4 linked regions of the Coturnix japonica genome follow. The protein of the gene in region 2 purifies or fractionates together with the protein of the main gene of each other region. This does not show direct contact. Links are inferred from orthologs where the notes say so. Each region holds a gene or a part of one and is shown on either strand. Other genes may lie near its edges.

Region 1 (3,977 bases), on a different chromosome or scaffold from region 2:
CTAATCGCCTTAACTATACACATGCAGAAATTGACTCCTTCCTGTCCTCCAAATGTTTGTCATACTGCAGGTCTACAAGTGAGAACTTGAATTTAAAGTGTGATGAGGGTTTTGTTGGGATGCAAACATCAGAAATTGAGGAACAATCAACATCCAAAACAATTAATGAAAGCATAATAGCTGTTTTTCTTTTGCAGTTTTTGTTTTTTTTTGTTTGTTTGTTTTGTTTTTTTTGTTTGTTTGGTTTTAGTTTTTTTCCCCTTACCTACTAATAACATAAATATAAAACACTTACCCGCTTTGTTCATCTCTACAAATGTAACCCATTCCAAAGTAATATGAAATCCACTTCCTTTTGTGTCCAATTCATCTTTTTCTACCCTGAGCAGTAGCACAGCTATTGAATGTTTATCAGATTTTACAAATGAAACACTGTGTACTATAACGAATGGACTGCCTAGTTCTTCACTAAACACAGTCTGGAAGGCAAAATGGTAGAAAAAGGTTAGTCAGTTAAAACTCAAAAATTAGTGAAAGCTTCAGAGAACATTAAATCAATTAATTAAATATGCTCGCCACAAATCACATTAACTTTTGGTTAGCCCTGAAGTGGTCACACAGTTGGTGTGTGACCTGAAGTTCTCTTCTAGCAGAACTATTCTATGTATTTCTAGCAGTTCCTTCCTTAGCTATCAAGAAAGTGTCCTTTTTATTACTGTTTATATGATAGAATCATTAAAATGGTCCACTAGATCAAGCACAAAACTCTACAAAAATATCTGCACTACAGAACAGGGTAACTGGCTTCCTTTTGACTGAACTTTCAAATTGTACAGGGGAAGGAGTTATTCCACCATGTAGAAATCCTCCACTTCCAGGTATATGTTTGACTTCCTGCCAATATTAAAAGCTCCTTGGCTGTGTATAAAACTATCCTCTAATTAAAAAGTTGCATGAAAAATGTGGTACTTTAATATCAAATTCATCCTTCAGAAATAAAGAGAAACAACAGACCAAAACTTATAGCAGCTGAAGCAGAAATGTACCATAACTACATTTGTTTTGTAGAACTAATAGCATTATTGCTATGGAAACACCACTGCTCCGTGGATATCAGAAACGCTCCTTCTCAAGATGGTTTAAAGTAAGTGATTTTGTAACCTATTTAATGAGAAACGTGCTTCAGTTACAACCACAAAGTTAAATAAAAAATACTAAGCACCAATAATTCTCCAGAGCTAAGTGTACAGCATGAAAAATTTCTCTCCCAGAGAGGTGGAAATATTACAATTTAGATTATACCTACTCTGCATAAAGCCCTCGGGGCTACTTATAAAAGGTTTTTAATCATCAGTTTTCTTTAATTTTTATTTTATTCACCATGGACACACTTTTAAGACAGGTCAAATTAAAATGATGAACATTTCAAATGCAATTACATCAGCACAAGTGATCTAGAAACCCTCTAACAAAATGAAAAGTAGCATTTAGCTTGACAATAATTTCAGGCATTTTAAAACGTACTTATTATTCCATGGGTCAGAAGAAATAATGTGATAGTGGAAGGAAAACTTAGGCTGACCCATAAGAATAGAGAAGGGAAAGGGAAAATGGTTCTTATTATAAGTTCAGCTTGACAGGTGTGCAGTCACCTATTTAGAAACACTCGCTCTCTTCAGACAGATTCTTTTCCCGTAAAAAGGCTGTTTGCTGTTTCCATTCAACCATTTGAATTTTACAGATTTTTTTCTTTCACTTCAAGAAATAATTCACATGATCTTTATGTTTGGACACAGCCCAATATCAACCACAGAGTTAAGATTGAAAGCTTCGTTTTTCATAACATTATATGCATGCAATTCTCCTATTAAGTGCAGGAGTAAGAATTATTTGGTAAATATACAATTCTTAATGTGCTATTTTAAGACTTACCTCCCATTTTTCCGATGCACTGTTTCCACGCTTGCCTGACTTAATTAAATATAGTCTTCCTGTTCCATCAGAAATGGTAACCCATGTGGAAGATGAGAAGTACATTGAGGCACAAAGGCGATCATCATAAGCTGTCAAATCTGTAGGTAGCCTGAAAACTTCTCTTGGTTTTTGGAGAGCAGTGTCCTGTAAGCAGAGTCACTTTATGAAGTACTAATCAATTTCAGCATTGCAGAAAAATGAACAACAAACTTCAACAGCAATTCACCAGTCAGCTCATGTAATTGAGCCTATTAGGAAAAATGTAGGTAGCCAAGCATCACTTCCACATATGAGGAAGAGGTGGTAGAATTTCAGTATTCAGTCTGTTTACTGAAAACTTAAGTGTTTTATAATTGGTATTTCAACACCATTTTTTTCCCTTCAAATTCACAGCACTAATTTACATTTTGCATTTAAAAGTTTTTTACTTCTTTTTTCCTAACATTCCCATAGAATTTATCACTCACCTCACAGTTTTAATCCCACTAAGAACCTGGAGACCTTAAATGAAATAAAAGCCATAGAAATGTACAAAAAAAAGTTAATTTACACTGACTTCTAAACTAAAACAAACTTTAACCCTCTTTCTTACTCAACTTGTGCACACATATACAACACAGAAAGACCACATTCGTGCATACAAGCATGACATAGACTTGAGACTATCGTATTAGAGACGATTTCAAATCTATCGTATTTTCCAAATGGTATTAAAATCAGATATGCATCTAGAACATGTTCAAAGTAAGGCAAGCTAAACTGGATTTGGGTAAGTACCATTTTAATAAGCATCACTGAAAAAGACCAGATGACAAACAGATAGCCTGACTGTCTTCTGGATCTACTTGAATTTGTATTAGAGATTACTTTTCTCTACGACTCTGAAATCTGCAATAGAAAAGATGCAAATTAGATTTATAATTTCTAGTAGCATTCAGGATCACTCTGTAGATTCAGTTGCATCACTACAACCCTTCAGTTATTCACCTAATTTAGAACACATTCAGAAAGATTGAATGAAAGAATTATAAACAAAGGAAGAAAAAAAACCACACTCTACACCCAAGCATTTCCGACATCCTCATTTTCTGCTTGAATTTCTTAAGGTTTTACTGAAAGGCAGTATTTTCTGATATTTCTTACCATTCCATGGTAAGAAGTGACTGATGCGAATGGGAAAAAAGAACGAAAATTGCGGAAAGAAAAAGCTTCAGCCCCAGAACTACAAATTACAGGCATATTCTATGCAACACCATAGAAGACCACACTTCTGACAGCCTTCAAGTGAATCATAACAGTAAGCTTCAAATAGTTATTGATGTAATTGTGTTTTAAAGAACTATCAACTGTCGATCATTTAATCTTCTAAAGCCCTCATTACACTTATCAACACTGAAGTGGAGTGACAGGAGTCAACAATTCTGAAAACTTTAATTAAAAAAGTCTTCACATCACAAAGCCTCCCAGCTCAAAGGAAAGAAAGAAAATGCTCTTCTAATCTTCCTTTTGCTGCTCACTAGTATTAAGTAAGTCTGCAGATAACACAAAAATGGGAGGAACTGTCAACACTTGAAAGTAAAGAGAACTTGTAGAGAGCTGCTGACAAATTAGAAGGCTGGGCAATCATCACCTATATGAAGCTGAACAAGAGGAAGTGCCAAATTCTGTGCCTGGAACAGGGCAAACCTGACTTTGTACAGGCTGGGGAATGAGAAGCAGGAGAGCAGCCCCACAGCAAGGGATATGAGAGTTCTGGTTGATTGAAGCTGAATACAAGTCAGCAGTGTGCCCTGGCAGCCAAAAGGACCAACCATGCCCTGGGGTACATCAGGCCCAGCACTGCCAGCCAGGCAAGGGAAGGGATTGTTCCACTCTGCTATGTGCTGGTGTAACAGGCTATAGAGTATTCAAATTAGCTGATAACTATACAATTCTGGACTTCTTTTCATTACTGATAGATGAAAGTATATTTGATTCAGAAGGATTGAGTCAAATTATCATGA
Region 2 (4,408 bases):
CAACATCCTACATCAGATAGATTAATTAGTCAGCTCTATCTACGTTGCATCTGGGCAAGCATAGCAACAGCTTAAAGTTTCGTCAGTCATTCAGATGAGTGTCAAATCAAAAACACCTATTTGGATTATTACATCAGAAACACACACAAAAGAACCCAAAGAAAATGAATATAATGAAGATAATGAGTCACTTAAAAATGAGTTACAGTTGTATCTGACTTGAAGGGTTACGTGTTAGTATTCAGTAACAAGATAACAAAAAGAAACGTAAACTGTAAACATCTTAGCATCCCATAATTTCTACACTAGGCACCACACAATGGATTCCACATCCTGTGTGATGTGACAATTCCATACCTTCATGCTCAGGCTCGTTTTGGATCCAGTAAAGGATAACACTTTGACCTTCACTCTTTGTCCTTTGCTCACAACATCAGCAACATTGGCAACACGTCCTTCTCTTCGAAGCTCAGAGATGTGGACCAAGCCCTCCCAACGCTTCCTGTAGGTAAAACATGAGACATTGAACATTATTACTCAGATGGTCTTTCAGATCATTCAGAGTCTGGATTAAAATATTTTGTTGTGAGCTGATTGTCTGTGGATGTTCACTGTTCTTTGTAAAAATAGTTAACAGTCTCTACTGTAGCATCATAACCTCTTTAAGACCCCAACAGAAAAAAGTAGAGATAAAATGGTACCAGATTTATTGTAAATATTATAACATACCTCAGTCCTTCCAGCTGCACGAAGCACCCAAACTGCATTATACTGGTGACTTTCCCATTGTAAATGTCTCCAATGGAAGGCTCCTCAGGTGGCGGACGGTCTACGTGCTTGTCTCTCCATCTCTCATTGCTCTTCTCAATATACTTGTCTCGATCCCTACGGTCCCTACTTCGACTCCTGCTCCTCGAGTAGTATCTGGATTTACCTCTGTTCCTATCCCGAGTCCTGGAACGAGACCTAGAGCGAGATCTGTGCCTTCGTTTCCTGTCCCTGCTCCTGCTTCGGCTTCTTTTCTTTTTCTTTGCCCTTAACAAACAAACAAAATATATTAACACTGAAATTCGACAAGAGCAAGTAGACATTAACTGCCAATATCCAGTCCCTTAAAAATGAACTAATAACATACCGGTGGTCACTGCTCCTTTGTTTGCTTTGCTTGTCTGCACTAGGCATCAGAGCTTCAAGTTCTTTAAGTGCATCTGCTGCCACTTTCACATCATCTTCATCCAGCATAGTCTGCAAAAACAGAGAATCATCCTATAAGACAGCTGAGATAAAAATCCATCACAGAGAATTCACCTACAAAAAATCATCTCATGCATTTCTATTCAGAAACACAAACTTAAAAGAAAAGATCAGGCAGAATACATGATAAGAACAAATATTAAATGTAATAAAGCTATTTTGCCACATTAGTGGACCAATTCTGCTTCTACATAAAGGATCCCTTCAACCCAGCACCTCAAATTACTATTGAGTTACAGAATATAAGTTTGTAGAAGTAACTATTGGTAACAGTTATTCCTAAGGATTACATCCAATAATATCAGCCTTTGGGCTCATTGATGTTTTAATTCTCAGTCTGCTCTTATCCACGCTTTGGCTGGAGATATAAATGCTAACGTGAAGAAAAACCTGAAATAGAGACACCAAAAGAGCCACAAACTACATTTTCACACACTCATTAAAGGAAACTGAAATGATGACCTTACCCTAACGTTGGGATTGTCTGGCCTGCAAAGGGCTGGAAATAATTCCTTCAATCTTTCCTTTTCCGATTTGGGTTTGGTAACGGCCTCTGATTTGGAGATGAACAAAACAAACAGATAGTTTGTAAGAGTCAAAATGATTTCATCTCAGCCTTTCTGAAATTGAATGTTAAACTTTCAGCCACATATAGAGGTTAATACGGATCTTATTATTTTAGAATATTAAATATATTGCCCTCAGCAAACACAAGACACAAACTGCAAAGGATTCGAGAGCACAGTTTGGTTGGGTTTGTTTCTTTTTAACTGAACTGATGGAAGGGAAAAGAAAAGACTTCACTCACCTTTACTCGCAGATGGTTTTGATGGAGGCCGCATCGTTTGTATGAGACGCAACAAGTTGCTGATAAGGGAATCCTGCAAACAGAATAGAAGGTTTAAGATGTAAGAGGTGATAGCATCACTTTTGGTCATTATTACAAAGCACAATATGGGGGTAAACAACAGGGCAAAGATTGAAAGGCTGAATATTGCATAGCCCTGCAGTATAGCCAATCCCTATATCTCCCTTTGATAAAGGAACACACAGAACACATTCAGATCTCACTTACTGTGAACTCAGCCCCATTCTTTAGCAGAACGGCTTTAAACGTGTCAAACGTCGTGTTTTTCTCGGCGAGGCTGATCACAAATTCGGCTACAAAGAAAGAGCACAAAGTGAATCAAATAGCACAAGGGCACAGAATCACACAGAATCACAGAATGACCCGGGTTGGAAGGGACCTCAAGGATCATGTAGTTCCAACCCCCCTGCCTGGCAGGGCCACCAAACATACACATTTACTAGATCAGGTTGCCCAGGAGACCCCATAGATCCCCATAGAGACCCCATAGATCCCCATAGACCCCATGGACCCCATAGATCCCCATAGAGACCCCATGGACCCCATAGATCCCCACAGAGACCCCATAGATCCCATAGATCAGGTTGCCCAGGGCCCTGTCCAACCTGGTCTCGAACACCTCCAAGGTGTTCAAGGGCAGCACCCAGATCGATCCATCTACCTACAGAACAGCAGCATCCCCTTCTAGGCGCTCACATCTAAACGTTTTATAATATTTCTTTTAGAGATATATTTTATTCTTCTCAATTCCAAAGGCCTTTCGTTGAAGGCATCATGGCCGTCAGGCCCGGTTACAACCTCCCCACAGCTATCACCCCACCTCACTCACCCAGATCCTTATCGTTGATACCCAGGTGGTTGTCAAGCTCGGTGCAGACCTTAGAGACCAGCGATAAATACTCGAGCTTGGCGAGCTCCTCTAAAGCCGCCAGGTCCGCCATCTTTCCCCCACCCCCACCCCACACACCAGGAGCCACTTCCGCATCCGGGAAGCACCGGAAGTCAAGCTGATCATAGAGAGGATAGAGAGCTAGAGCGGCTCTGTCCGGATCCAATCAGCGCTGGGGGGTGCCGGAAGTGGCCGTTGCTAGGCGACGCTTGCCGCCGCCATGTCGGCCTTGCACTGGGAGGCGAGGCGAAGGCAGGCCGCGCTGGAGCGGCGCAGGGCCGCGTTAATACGGGTGTGTGTAGAGCGAGGGAAGGGCTGGGGAACGGAGCTAGGGCGGCTCTTATAGCCCCATATGTACTTTGCAGTCCGCGGGCTGCTCTAGAATGGATACGAGGCACGGTATTGATAACAGCCCGACGCAGGCATTGCCTCCCGGTGAGCAGAAAGCGGCCCTGGGGTTAAAGGAAGGGCTGAGAGCCGGGCTGGGCTCTACTCAGCTCTACCTTGTTCCTATTATAGAGCCTCAGCCGTATCGTTGCTGCTGCCCGAGTCATCAAGCGTCCAACCCAAGTGCCAGGCTGCCCAATCGCTTCACGGTAAGGAGCTGCCTCAAAGAGCTGAGATCCATCTGTTTAGAAGCCAAAGTAATTTCCCTTTGCATCTATAGGCTATTCAGTACATGCAGCAATGGTGAGGACCACAGACCACAACAAGCAGAGCAAAGCACCGCCTGTGTACAGCACAAGGAGCCATGTCAGCTAAAGCTAAGAGCTAAATAAAATAGCACTGCGCCTCAATGTCAATGGTCTGTGTTAAGCATTAAGCTCCTTCCTCTGCCTGGGCCTGCCCGGCTCTGGGGTTGCAGGCCCAGAGGCTCATTGCTATCAGCGAGCTAAACAACCAATAGGAAGCAGCCTTGCTCAGCATGTGGTACCGCCGCGAAGCTCGCTGGGAGTTGTGTCCTACCCTGTAACTACAATAACAACGAAGAACTACAAGTCCCAGAATGCCTCGTGGAAAGCGCGGGCCAATAGGGAGAGGGCGTGTTGAGGTTGCACGCATGCGCGGTAGGGTGGGAGGCCGAGGATTCATGTGGAGGTCAGGGGAGCTGCGGGAGGAGAGTGGGGTGGGAGGGGGCGGAGGGTCTTGGGGTATTGGAGCTGAGCTGGGGGCTGAGGGTACGAACGAGGCCTTCACCCGCCAGGTCTGTGTCCTGAGAGTCAGAGGCCTCGGGAAACGTGGGTGGGAGGAGGGAGGGGGGGAGAATGGGGAATTAAAGGGGGTTCGAGGTGTGGGGTTCCTCGAGGGGTTTTGGGGGGGGGGAAGGGGGGGATGTGGGGTCTTGGGTTCAGAGTCCAAGGTGATAAGGGGGGGGGGAGTGGAGAGGCCTGTATGGC
Region 3 (4,478 bases), on a different chromosome or scaffold from region 2:
GGAATGAAGGCTTAAAGATGGTGGTGGGGGGTGGGCACACACAGCCCCCCTCACCCCAGCACCAACCTCAATCTGCCGCACCACGTCCATGCCCTCTGTCACCTCCCCAAACACCACGTGCTTCCCGTCCAGCCAGTCGGTTTTATCACAAGTGATGAAGAACTGGGAGCCGTTGGTGTTCGGGCCGGCGTTGGCCATGGACAGCAACCCTGGGACCAAACAGGGCAGCATTACTGGGAGCAACGCCAATAATTAACTAACCCCCCCCCCCGGGCTGAGCAGACACTGCTGGCTTTAAGAGAGTCTCTGAATATTGGAACTGCGGGAAGTTGATGATGCCAAGAAACACCTCCGGGTATGAACAGAGTGAAGTGGTAGAGAGCATTAATCTATTTTTAACTGTAGCAACAGCAAAGCTTTGGAGATCAGCCTGCTTGCTTTCTGCCACCTTTCCAATGCTCACAGTTAGACTGCACTGCTCCTGCCATAAAGCCCAACAGAAAAGCAGCTTTGAAATTCTCCATGATATGAGACTGGAAATTAACAGCGTGGGGGTAGAAATAGGGGGCAGCATTTCTGCCCACTGAATGCTGTGGGCACACTGCAGTCTGCTCCAGGTGCTGCACCAACACAGACCGGCCCTGGGGCTGCTGCTGTGTGGTCAGAGCAGCTCGAGGTGCCCCACAAACCCCACCCTACCTGGTCCCGTGTGCTTCAGGATGAAGTTTTCATCATCAAACTTCTTCCCATAGATGGATTTTCCTCCGGTGCCGTTGTGGTTGGTGAAGTCCCCAGCCTGGCACATGAACTGGGGGATGATGCGGTGGAAGCTGCTCCCCTTGAAGCCAAAGCCTTTCTCCTGGGTGCAGAGGCAGCGGAAGTTTTCTGTTCAAGGCAAAGGGCAGAGGTGAGCACAGCACTGCAGCCTGTGGGCCACAGTGACAGCAGCGCTGCTCACCTACAGTCATGGGCACCACGTCGGAGCGCAGCAGGATCTTGAGCCGCCCTGCAGGTTTGTTGCCAATCTTGATGTCCATGTAAACTTGGGGGTTGGCCCGGGACTTCTTGGCAGGAGGCTCACCCTATGCGAGGAGAAGGTACACTATGCTGCCACTGCTCAGCTCTGCCACCCAATGGCCAGGCTGACCCCAGCCTGCAGCACAGTGCCAGCAGCAGATCCAGCTCCAGAAGTCCCTGGAGGCAGCATGAAGCAACAGGAGGCTTCTCACAGCCTGGGGGCTGCTGCAGGGTGCAGCTGAAACACACGGCTCCCTATGGGCTCACGGAGCTTTTGGGAGCACAGGGACTGACAGGGCCACAGCTCACTCCTGGCTCTCAAAGCTGACAGCACCCAGTTCCCCATGTGGCCATTCCCCATTCCAAGGCACTCAGCAGGACACAACCAGCTCCATCCATCCCTACCTCCTGTGTCTCTGGTTTGGGTGCCTCTGTTCCTCCTTCCTCTGCGTTCTCCTCCAGGGTCTTTCCTGAGAACCTCTTCAGCCACTCATCATCTGACCACACTGCAGCAAGGGAGGGCAGGATGAGAGCAGGGCGCTGAGCCCAGGGCCATACACGACTCTGGACTCAGCACAGCTCCAGAAGCAGCAGGACTGTAACCCAGGGTGCTGCTGGCCCAACCACCCCCAGAACTGCATGTGGTCACCCCACATCATGGGGACACAGGGACAGAGCCAGCAGCTCCCCCAGGTGAGGGGTACCAACTTACCCGGCCGAGACGATCCTTCTTTAATTCGCATTGGTTTGGCCAAGTTCACTCGAATCGTCCGACCAAAGAGCTCAGACTCATTCTACAGAGGACAAAAAAGCACAAAACCCACCACAAGGTAAAAACTCACTGTGTCCCCTCTGCAGAGAACGGGGCTGTTTTTTTTCTGAGCACTACACGCAGTTCAGGAGCTGCACTGAGCCACAGGCAGCACCAACAGCACCAGCAAAGCAGGGCCGGCATCACAGCTCCGGGATCAGCAGGTCTGCAGCGTCACCAGCACAGAAACACCAAGTGTCCGGGCAGGGCTGAGCCCCGGGGACAGGGCAGGGCAGGGCTCCAGGACTCTGTGATTGTGTGACTCGTACCATGTTGTCAATGGCCGCAGCCGCATCCTGCGTGAAGAGCGACAGGCTCCGTTACACACACGGCGCCCTCTGCCTCTAAAGGCCCCAATGCCCCAACGGGAGACACTCACACCCCGACCCCCACCCCCTCACCTCCGCCAGCTCGAACTCCACGAAGGCGAATCCGCGGTGCTTCTCTGCCAGCAAACAGCCCGGTCACAGCCCGGTCACAGCAGTTACAGCCCGGTCACAGCCCGGTTACACCGGTTACAGCCCGGTTACAGGCCGGTCACATCCCGGTCCCCGCCCCGCCACGCACCGGTCTCGTAGTCCAGCGGGATCTGGATGTCGGTGATGTCGCCGAACGGGATGAAGGCGGCGTGCAGCACCTTCTCGTCCACCTCCTCCGCCAGCCCGCCTGCGGCACACAGCGTTACGGACACACAGCGTTACGGACACACAGCGTTACGGACACACAGCGTTACGGACACACAGCGTTACGGACACACAGCATTATGGCCCACAACACCGTTACGGCCCCTCTCGCCTCCCCGCCGCCCGCCCCACTCACCCACGTACAGCACCCTCTTGGTGGCCGCCATCTTGCCGCCCCACCCCGGAAGTTCGGGCATATCCCGCCCTTCCGCCCAGCGCCGCCCCGGCAGCGCCCCCTGGCGGCGGGGAGGGACGAACCCCCGAACCAGCCCAAAGTGACAAAACTAAAGAGAAACGTGACAAACGCTGAGAAAGTTTTTATTCCTCCATTGCCAAACGATTTTCCAGAACTCTCCAACATGGGCCGTTAAAACCAAAACCACAAAATGCTTTTGTCAACCAGAAACCTTCAAAGTCCTGCATAGAAAAGACTTAAACTCTGCTCACAAAGGAAAAGCTCACAGACTCCATCCAGGCTTTGGGCAGCCAGAGTCGCTCGGTGAGATCCCAAGGGTTAATTACAAAATGCAATAGAACTACGTGATACGGCGCGTGGCATCGAGTCCTGCAGGGCTGCAGCCTCCTCCAGCCGCTGGCTGTGACAGGGGCTGTGACAGGGGCTGTGACAGGGGCTGTTTGGCTTCATTGCATCCTGCAGGGAAAGGAGGAAGATGTTCTGAAGAACTGGCTCCACTCAGACAAGCTCCCACACCAACAACGCCCAGTAACTGCCTGGTTTTATTTACCAAACCTGGAAGCTTTGAATTGAAGCTGAGCACTGAGACACTCACCTGCCCTCCTGGCTTAAGAGGTAGCAGCAACCACACCCACCTTCTGGGCAGCTTCTTTCTTGGCTTGGTGAGCCTGCAGCACTGCAACAGCCTCCTCCACCTGCGGGCAAGAAGATGAGCCAGTAAGAATTCTCTCCCAACCAAAGGGACACACAGTTTGGCCTACAAGGGAACGGGCCGGCTTTACCTTTGAGCGGAGGGACTCTGGAGACTCCAACATGTGCAGCAGCTCCGAGTTGTCAATCTCCAGCAGCATTCCTGTGATCTTCCCTGCAAGGCTGGGGTGCATAGCTTGAATAAGAGGGAACAAACGTTCTCCTAGAAAAAAAAAAAAGGATTTCAGACAGCAGTTTTAATTTAGAAGCTGTCAATGAAACCTCAGGACATTCCCAAAGTAAAATGCAATCTGGAAGAACCTGAGTTTCACTTACCCAGCATCTGTTTCTGCTCCTGGGGAGGGGCAGCAGCCAGCATGGAGGCTGTTAGTGGCTCCTGTCCCTGCACGTGTACTGCAGGCTGAGGTGCCTATAGAAGGGCAGACAGGAGGATGCAAAAATAGATGCTGTGCTGTTTCTGCAAAAACTCTTCAGCTGCATGTCAAACCTGTTGGCCTGCAGCTGCTTCAGGCACAGATCCTTGTGTTACCTGCAAAGGCTGTACAGGTGGGTGTGGGCTGCGGACACTTGAGGCATATTTATAAGGGGGAACTGCTCTGGGAGCAGGAGCAGCCACAGGTGGACGAGGAGCCAAGTTCTGTCCTGCAGTGGTAACACCTGCAAGAGAAGAGAGCAGGATCAAAACCACCATAGGAATGTGCAGCAAGTAACCTGAGGTATCTTAATTACTGCTAAATTCAAACTATGCTCTGCACAGGCCAATATTTGCTTAGGAACTGGTCTCCAAATTACAACTGGATATTCCAGAAAAGAATTATTCTACATTCTGCATTTAAGGTATTTTCTAGTTACTCCCTAACATAAAATTTGAATGCCTCAAGAACAAAACCCATAACCTACAGTCTTATTTAGAGCAGTAAATGTTGCTATAGAGATGAATTCCAAGCAAATGGAAAGTAACCCATCTGGATTTCTGCTGCTGTAGCACCAACTGCCCCCAGACCTGCACTGCTGTCTCTGCCCCTCACTCCAGGTGGCCTTTGGTTATCTGTTTCTGACA
Region 4 (4,564 bases), on a different chromosome or scaffold from region 2:
CTGGGAACAGCTTTTCAGCAGGCCAACAAAGGAAGCAGCTTTGGAAAATGTTACTGAAATATTACCATCATAAGAAACATACCTGCTGCCGCTCATCACGTAACCGGAGCTCTCAAACGATGCAATTTCTTCACTGGTCAAGCCAATCTCACCTCTCCGAGGAATGCGTTTTCCTGCTTTTACATACTCTGCCATTGCTGCACCTTCACCCGGCAACAGGGCGTGCCCATAGCTAAAGAAACAGAGAGACAAACAGGAGGGATTTTAATCAGTCTCAACTAGAGTGAGCCTGAGCCAAACATCCAGCTCCCCCAGTCACTACCAGCTACATTTTAAGGACTTCCTTACTATTTCCCAAGTACGTTCCCATTTCATACTTACAGCTAATCTCAGCAAGAACATTTTAAGTAAGCAGTTTAATAAATTCTGGTTAACCAGTAATGAAGGCTGTATGAAGTCACAGCTCTGCAGAGCATTAGAGTAAAGGCACTTTACTGAAGTAAAAACCAATTAATTTTCTACGAACCCAGGCTAAAATGCGTAAAACAGACTTTTCTACTTAAACTCAGGTCAGAGTAAAGACTAGCACCACTACCACTTCTTAGTTTCTGGTACAGCATCCCTCTTGATATAAATCATATTATTTTAGGTCTTTCTGAGCAGAAATCTTTATGCTAGATTTACTTGACTCAATCAAGGTACCATTTAGAGTACTCACTTTAAAGGCCTATCATCTTGAGACGCATGTGTTTTGGGAGCTTCTGGTCCAATCAAGCTATCAGCTTCTGTATTTTCTGCAATGATCAAATAGTGAAGCAGATCAATACTGTGCCTCTTCTTTGTTATCAGAGCAGTCAACAAGGCAGCAAACACTTAAAAAAAAAAAAGCATGAAAAGAACACCAAGAAGTTTCAAGACAAATCTACGGGCACCTACTTGATCTCTCAATCCAGAGATCCTCCCCTTGAACTGTTCCATCATCAGAATCTTCACTGCTGGAATCACTGGATTCCTTCCGGCTCTTTTTATTTTTCTTTTTCTTGTACTTCTTCCTGCAATAACACCCAAGTTATCCACCAGCATTTAAGATAAAAAAACGTGCTAGGAGTCATACTCAAGTTATGAGTTTCTCAAGATACCTTCCACCAAGGACAGTCTGCATTTACATTGCTGTTTGATTGAAAACAACCGATAGTTAAACAAAGACAACACATCCACTGTTATGGCTTTCATACAGCGCTCGAAAGCGGCTCCCTGTGTTTCAAGGATCTCTCTGTGCTCTGGGATTCTGTACATTTGATGCCAGTCAAATTATGATTATCCACCTGCATTTACAGCTCTAATTACAGGAGCGCTCAGCTTCCCTCCGTTCCTGCTAAGACTGCGCTTAAAAGTAGATGCAATTATACTTCACAGCTTGGAAACTTACTTCCTGTGCTTCCTTTTCTTCCTTTTGCTTTTCTTTTTATCTTCATCTGAAAAACAAAAAACAAAAAAAAGGGAAGATTATGCATCATCAAAAAGCATACACTGTGAATTAGTTAATGCCTCCACCAGAACATCTCAATACACAGCTTGGACATCATTTGTTCTCCCTTACCACTGGAGCTCTGGTCGGACTCGGACTCGCTGTCACTGTCCTCAGAATGTTTTCTGTGTTTCCGTTTGGACGCCTTCCGTTTTCTCTTCTTTCGCTTCTTCTTCTTCTTCCTTTTTTCCTCTGGAATGTTTATAAAAGATAACATTAGAAAAAGATGAAGACTTAGTTCCGTGTATACATCTGGAGCATCCCAAAGCAACAGGGCCTATCACACTCACTTCAACCCAAGTCAGTGAACTTCCTGACAGCAACAACAGCAGTTTCTAGGTAGCGACTGGTTATCAAAATGAGCTGTATAAACAAAGCCAAATACCTTCCGAGCTGGAATCCGAAGAGCTGCTCTTGGATTTTGCCTCTTCGTCTTCTACTGGCGTGTGCTCATCAGAACTGAAGAAAAACAAGTTTGCTTTTTAAGATCTATTTTGTAGTATTTAGTAACTGAAGATCAGATGCACACATACACTGAAACACGTGCTTGTGGATTTTGAGCCACTACTTGCAACAGAGCAAACTGTGCAATGGCCAGCGTGCGAGACAGCAACTGTTTTCAGAACCACAGCAGAAAAGGCACCTATCACAGTATAGAATGTATCATAGAATGCCCTGGGTTGAAAAGGACCATAACAATCATCCAGTTTCAACCCCCTGCCATGGGAAATCATGTAATTGCGTCATGTCTTGAGTAACTGATGTGATGGGATTATCTGAATAACGTCTGTTTGCTTATGTTGGTTCAGATGCTTCTGACACAATGAATTGTGGCACCAGAGGACTCATGCGTTATTGTAAATTCCTCTAGAATTGATATCATAAAAAACAGAGTGAGAAGCAAAACTGTGCCTTACTCAGGGTCAGGAACCTTTGGCGAAAGCCCCCAGACTTCAGGTGCTCCCAGCTCTCCGATTCTCTCCCTCTCATTGAGTCTCCTGGAATGAAGCACACCGTTACTGGACGCTGACACGTCGCACCCAGCGAGCAGCTGCTTGCGGGCATGTCCCACTGCCCATAACAGCGTGAGAACGGGACTTCAATAACAACCTCAGCCCAACCCACGCCCGCAGGCCGAGCGGGCAGAGTCCAGCCCGGCACCCAGAGGCTCGTGCAGCGCCGGCGGCTCCCAGCCTCAAGCAGGGAGAGCCCGCAGACCCGCCCGTTGCCCGTTCCCCGTTCCCGCGTTGGTACTGGCCTCTGCCGCAGGATCTCCTCCTTCTCCTTCTCGTAGTACTCGGGCCAGGCCTTGCCGTGGTGGTGCCCGTGGTGCGCGGAGGCTCGAGTCCCGCCGGGGCTGCGCTCCCGGGATCGGGACCAGCTGCGGCTCCGCCGGTGGCAGCCGCGCCGCGATCCGTTACGGGACCGGGAGCGGGACCGGGAGCGGGAGCGGCGGCCGCGGCGCTCGGGGCTGGCGGCGGCCGGGCTGCGGGAGCGCGACACCGGCGCCATGATGGCGCGGCGGCATTTCCGGGCGGCCTGACGGCACTTCCGACGGCCGCCGGGCCGCGCTGCGCTGCTCGGACGGGGGCGGGAGGCGGCGGCGACGGGGCGCGGGGCGGAAGCGGGGCAGCCCCGCCCGCGGGGCGCAGTGCCCCACCGGCCGTGCGGAAACACGGCGACACGGCGGCGGGGCCGCTCCTTTGTCACCGCCCGGCACCATGGAGGCGCGGGCACAGCCGCGGCCAGGTAAGGCGGCGCGGGCGGACGGCGCACCGGGAGCGGCCTGCAGCCGGGAGCGGCCGGGGGACGGCGGTGCGGGGCCGGGTGAGCACCGAGCGAGGGGGAGCGCTCGCCGGGCCGCGATCCCCGGTGCCCGATGCCCGGTGCCGGCCGGCACATCAGCCCGCGCTGCTCTCGCGGCCATCCCGGCTCGGTCCGGCCCCGCCGCTGTCAGAGCGGCTGTCAGCGCAGCCCGGCCCCGCTCCCGCACACCGGCTGCCGCCCCAGGTTTCACGGGCCCGCTGCCGCCATGCTGCGGCTGTGGGAGCGCGGGGCACATACACGGCTCTTATTTACACGGTTCTTACTTACACGGCTCTTATTTACACGGCTGTTCTTTACACGGCTGTTATTTACACGGCTGTTTTTTACGCCTGCTGTGGGCAGGGTGATGTGGATGAGGCAGGTGGAAGCTGCAGTGCCTGTCACTCTGCCAGCTGAATCCGTACTGCCTCAAATGCTCGTTCCGTGCTTCCCATCTCGGGAGGATCCCGGAACGCAGCCCTGCCCCCTCCACCCGGCCCTGCATCCCCACACGGCACACAAGGTTACGACACCGACAGGCAGAGCTGGTTGCTGCTAACCCACATTGCTGGTGCTGGGCCCCGTCCCTGCAGCCATTAAAGGCACCCAGAGGTGCAGCCGGGGCTCTGCCATCGTGGGTGCAGCCCCAGCTCAACGTGGTGCCCAGCGCTGAGGCGGCTCCTTTTGGATCATTTCCATGCATCAAAATACAGTTGCTTTGTGTTCTTACCCACTGAACACCACCTCTTGTTGTGTGCTCTACACGTCCACATCTTAGAAAAACATGCTTCATTTAACTTGTCACTGTATACGTTTGTATGCTTGTTCAATCCCCAAACACTTTGGAGGCTGATCTGCAAGAGGCCTTGCAAGGCCGAATGGTAAAGCAGTTCACAGCTTGGTTTTGGGAACCCCAGAGCACTGCTCCTTCCAAACCAGTGCTTGTCTTTAGCTGTAGGTTCTCCTGTGAGTTCCTGCAAAGTCTGTAGGATCAAACAGATCAGGAACCGCAGATAAAACGTGCCATGAGCTCGGGTTCTCTGTGAGAACACTGCAGAGCACTCACACACACTGTGTCCAGGAGACTGCCCGGTGTGTGCCCGCACATGGCTGTCGCACACGCTCCAATGCAGGGTACGGGGTGGGCAGAGCCGGGCAGCGGGAGCGCAGCGTCAATGCCGGACGTGGCCGCCCGAGGCCTCGATGGAGGCGGCATCACCCGCGGCCCAC

Evidence for each region.
Region 1: the proteins of DHX8 (region 2) and NUDCD1 purify together in Homo sapiens (affinity purification with mass spectrometry; 3 studies listed by BioGRID and IntAct, counting the BioPlex papers as one, with this or other methods). This does not show direct contact. The link is inferred for Coturnix japonica from reciprocal best matches to the Homo sapiens genes DHX8 and NUDCD1.
Region 3: the proteins of DHX8 (region 2) and PPIE purify together in Homo sapiens (affinity purification with mass spectrometry; 3 studies listed by BioGRID and IntAct, counting the BioPlex papers as one, with this or other methods). This does not show direct contact. The link is inferred for Coturnix japonica from reciprocal best matches to the Homo sapiens genes DHX8 and PPIE.
Region 4: the proteins of DHX8 (region 2) and NKAP purify together in Homo sapiens (co-immunoprecipitation; 3 studies listed by BioGRID and IntAct, with this or other methods). This does not show direct contact. The link is inferred for Coturnix japonica from reciprocal best matches to the Homo sapiens genes DHX8 and NKAP.

What each region holds. Positions count from the first base shown.
Region 1 is NC_029517.1:119,473,655-119,477,631, forward strand, and holds part of NUDCD1 (nudC domain-containing protein 1), read right to left. Parts: intron 2,119-3,977; coding exon 1,933-2,118; intron 480-1,932; coding exon 296-479; intron 1-295.
Region 2 is NC_029542.1:2,949,783-2,954,190, forward strand, and holds the start of DHX8 (ATP-dependent RNA helicase DHX8), read right to left. Parts: upstream 3,110-4,408; 5' UTR 3,064-3,109; coding exon 2,952-3,063; intron 2,416-2,951; coding exon 2,330-2,415; intron 2,136-2,329; coding exon 2,063-2,135; intron 1,808-2,062; coding exon 1,722-1,807; intron 1,246-1,721; coding exon 1,136-1,245; intron 1,036-1,135; coding exon 730-1,035; intron 503-729; coding exon 358-502; intron 8-357; coding exon 1-7.
Region 3 is NC_029538.1:4,803,628-4,808,105, forward strand, and holds the start of PPIE (peptidyl-prolyl cis-trans isomerase E), read right to left. Parts: upstream 2,901-4,478; 5' UTR 2,873-2,900; coding exon 2,648-2,872; intron 2,495-2,647; coding exon 2,396-2,494; intron 2,274-2,395; coding exon of another isoform or gene 2,230-2,273; intron 2,125-2,229; coding exon of another isoform or gene 2,098-2,124; intron 1,812-2,097; coding exon 1,730-1,811; intron 1,524-1,729; coding exon 1,423-1,523; intron 1,083-1,422; coding exon 959-1,082; intron 886-958; coding exon 700-885; intron 210-699; coding exon 67-209; intron 1-66. Other genes in the region: PABPC4 (polyadenylate-binding protein 4), read right to left, coding at 3,316-3,402, 3,490-3,620, 3,734-3,827, 3,948-4,075. UniProt on the Homo sapiens protein: Involved in pre-mRNA splicing as component of the spliceosome. Combines RNA-binding and PPIase activities.
Region 4 is NC_029519.1:15,371,249-15,375,812, reverse strand, and holds the start of NKAP (NF-kappa-B-activating protein), read right to left. Parts: upstream 3,056-4,564; 5' UTR 3,041-3,055; coding exon 2,787-3,040; intron 2,527-2,786; coding exon 2,446-2,526; intron 1,988-2,445; coding exon 1,914-1,987; intron 1,721-1,913; coding exon 1,601-1,720; intron 1,476-1,600; coding exon 1,430-1,475; intron 1,053-1,429; coding exon 937-1,052; intron 795-936; coding exon 719-794; intron 233-718; coding exon 83-232; intron 1-82. Other genes in the region: ZBTB33 (transcriptional regulator Kaiso), read left to right, coding at 3,250-3,277. UniProt on the Homo sapiens protein: Acts as a transcriptional repressor. Plays a role as a transcriptional corepressor of the Notch-mediated signaling required for T-cell development. Also involved in the TNF and IL-1 induced NF-kappa-B activation.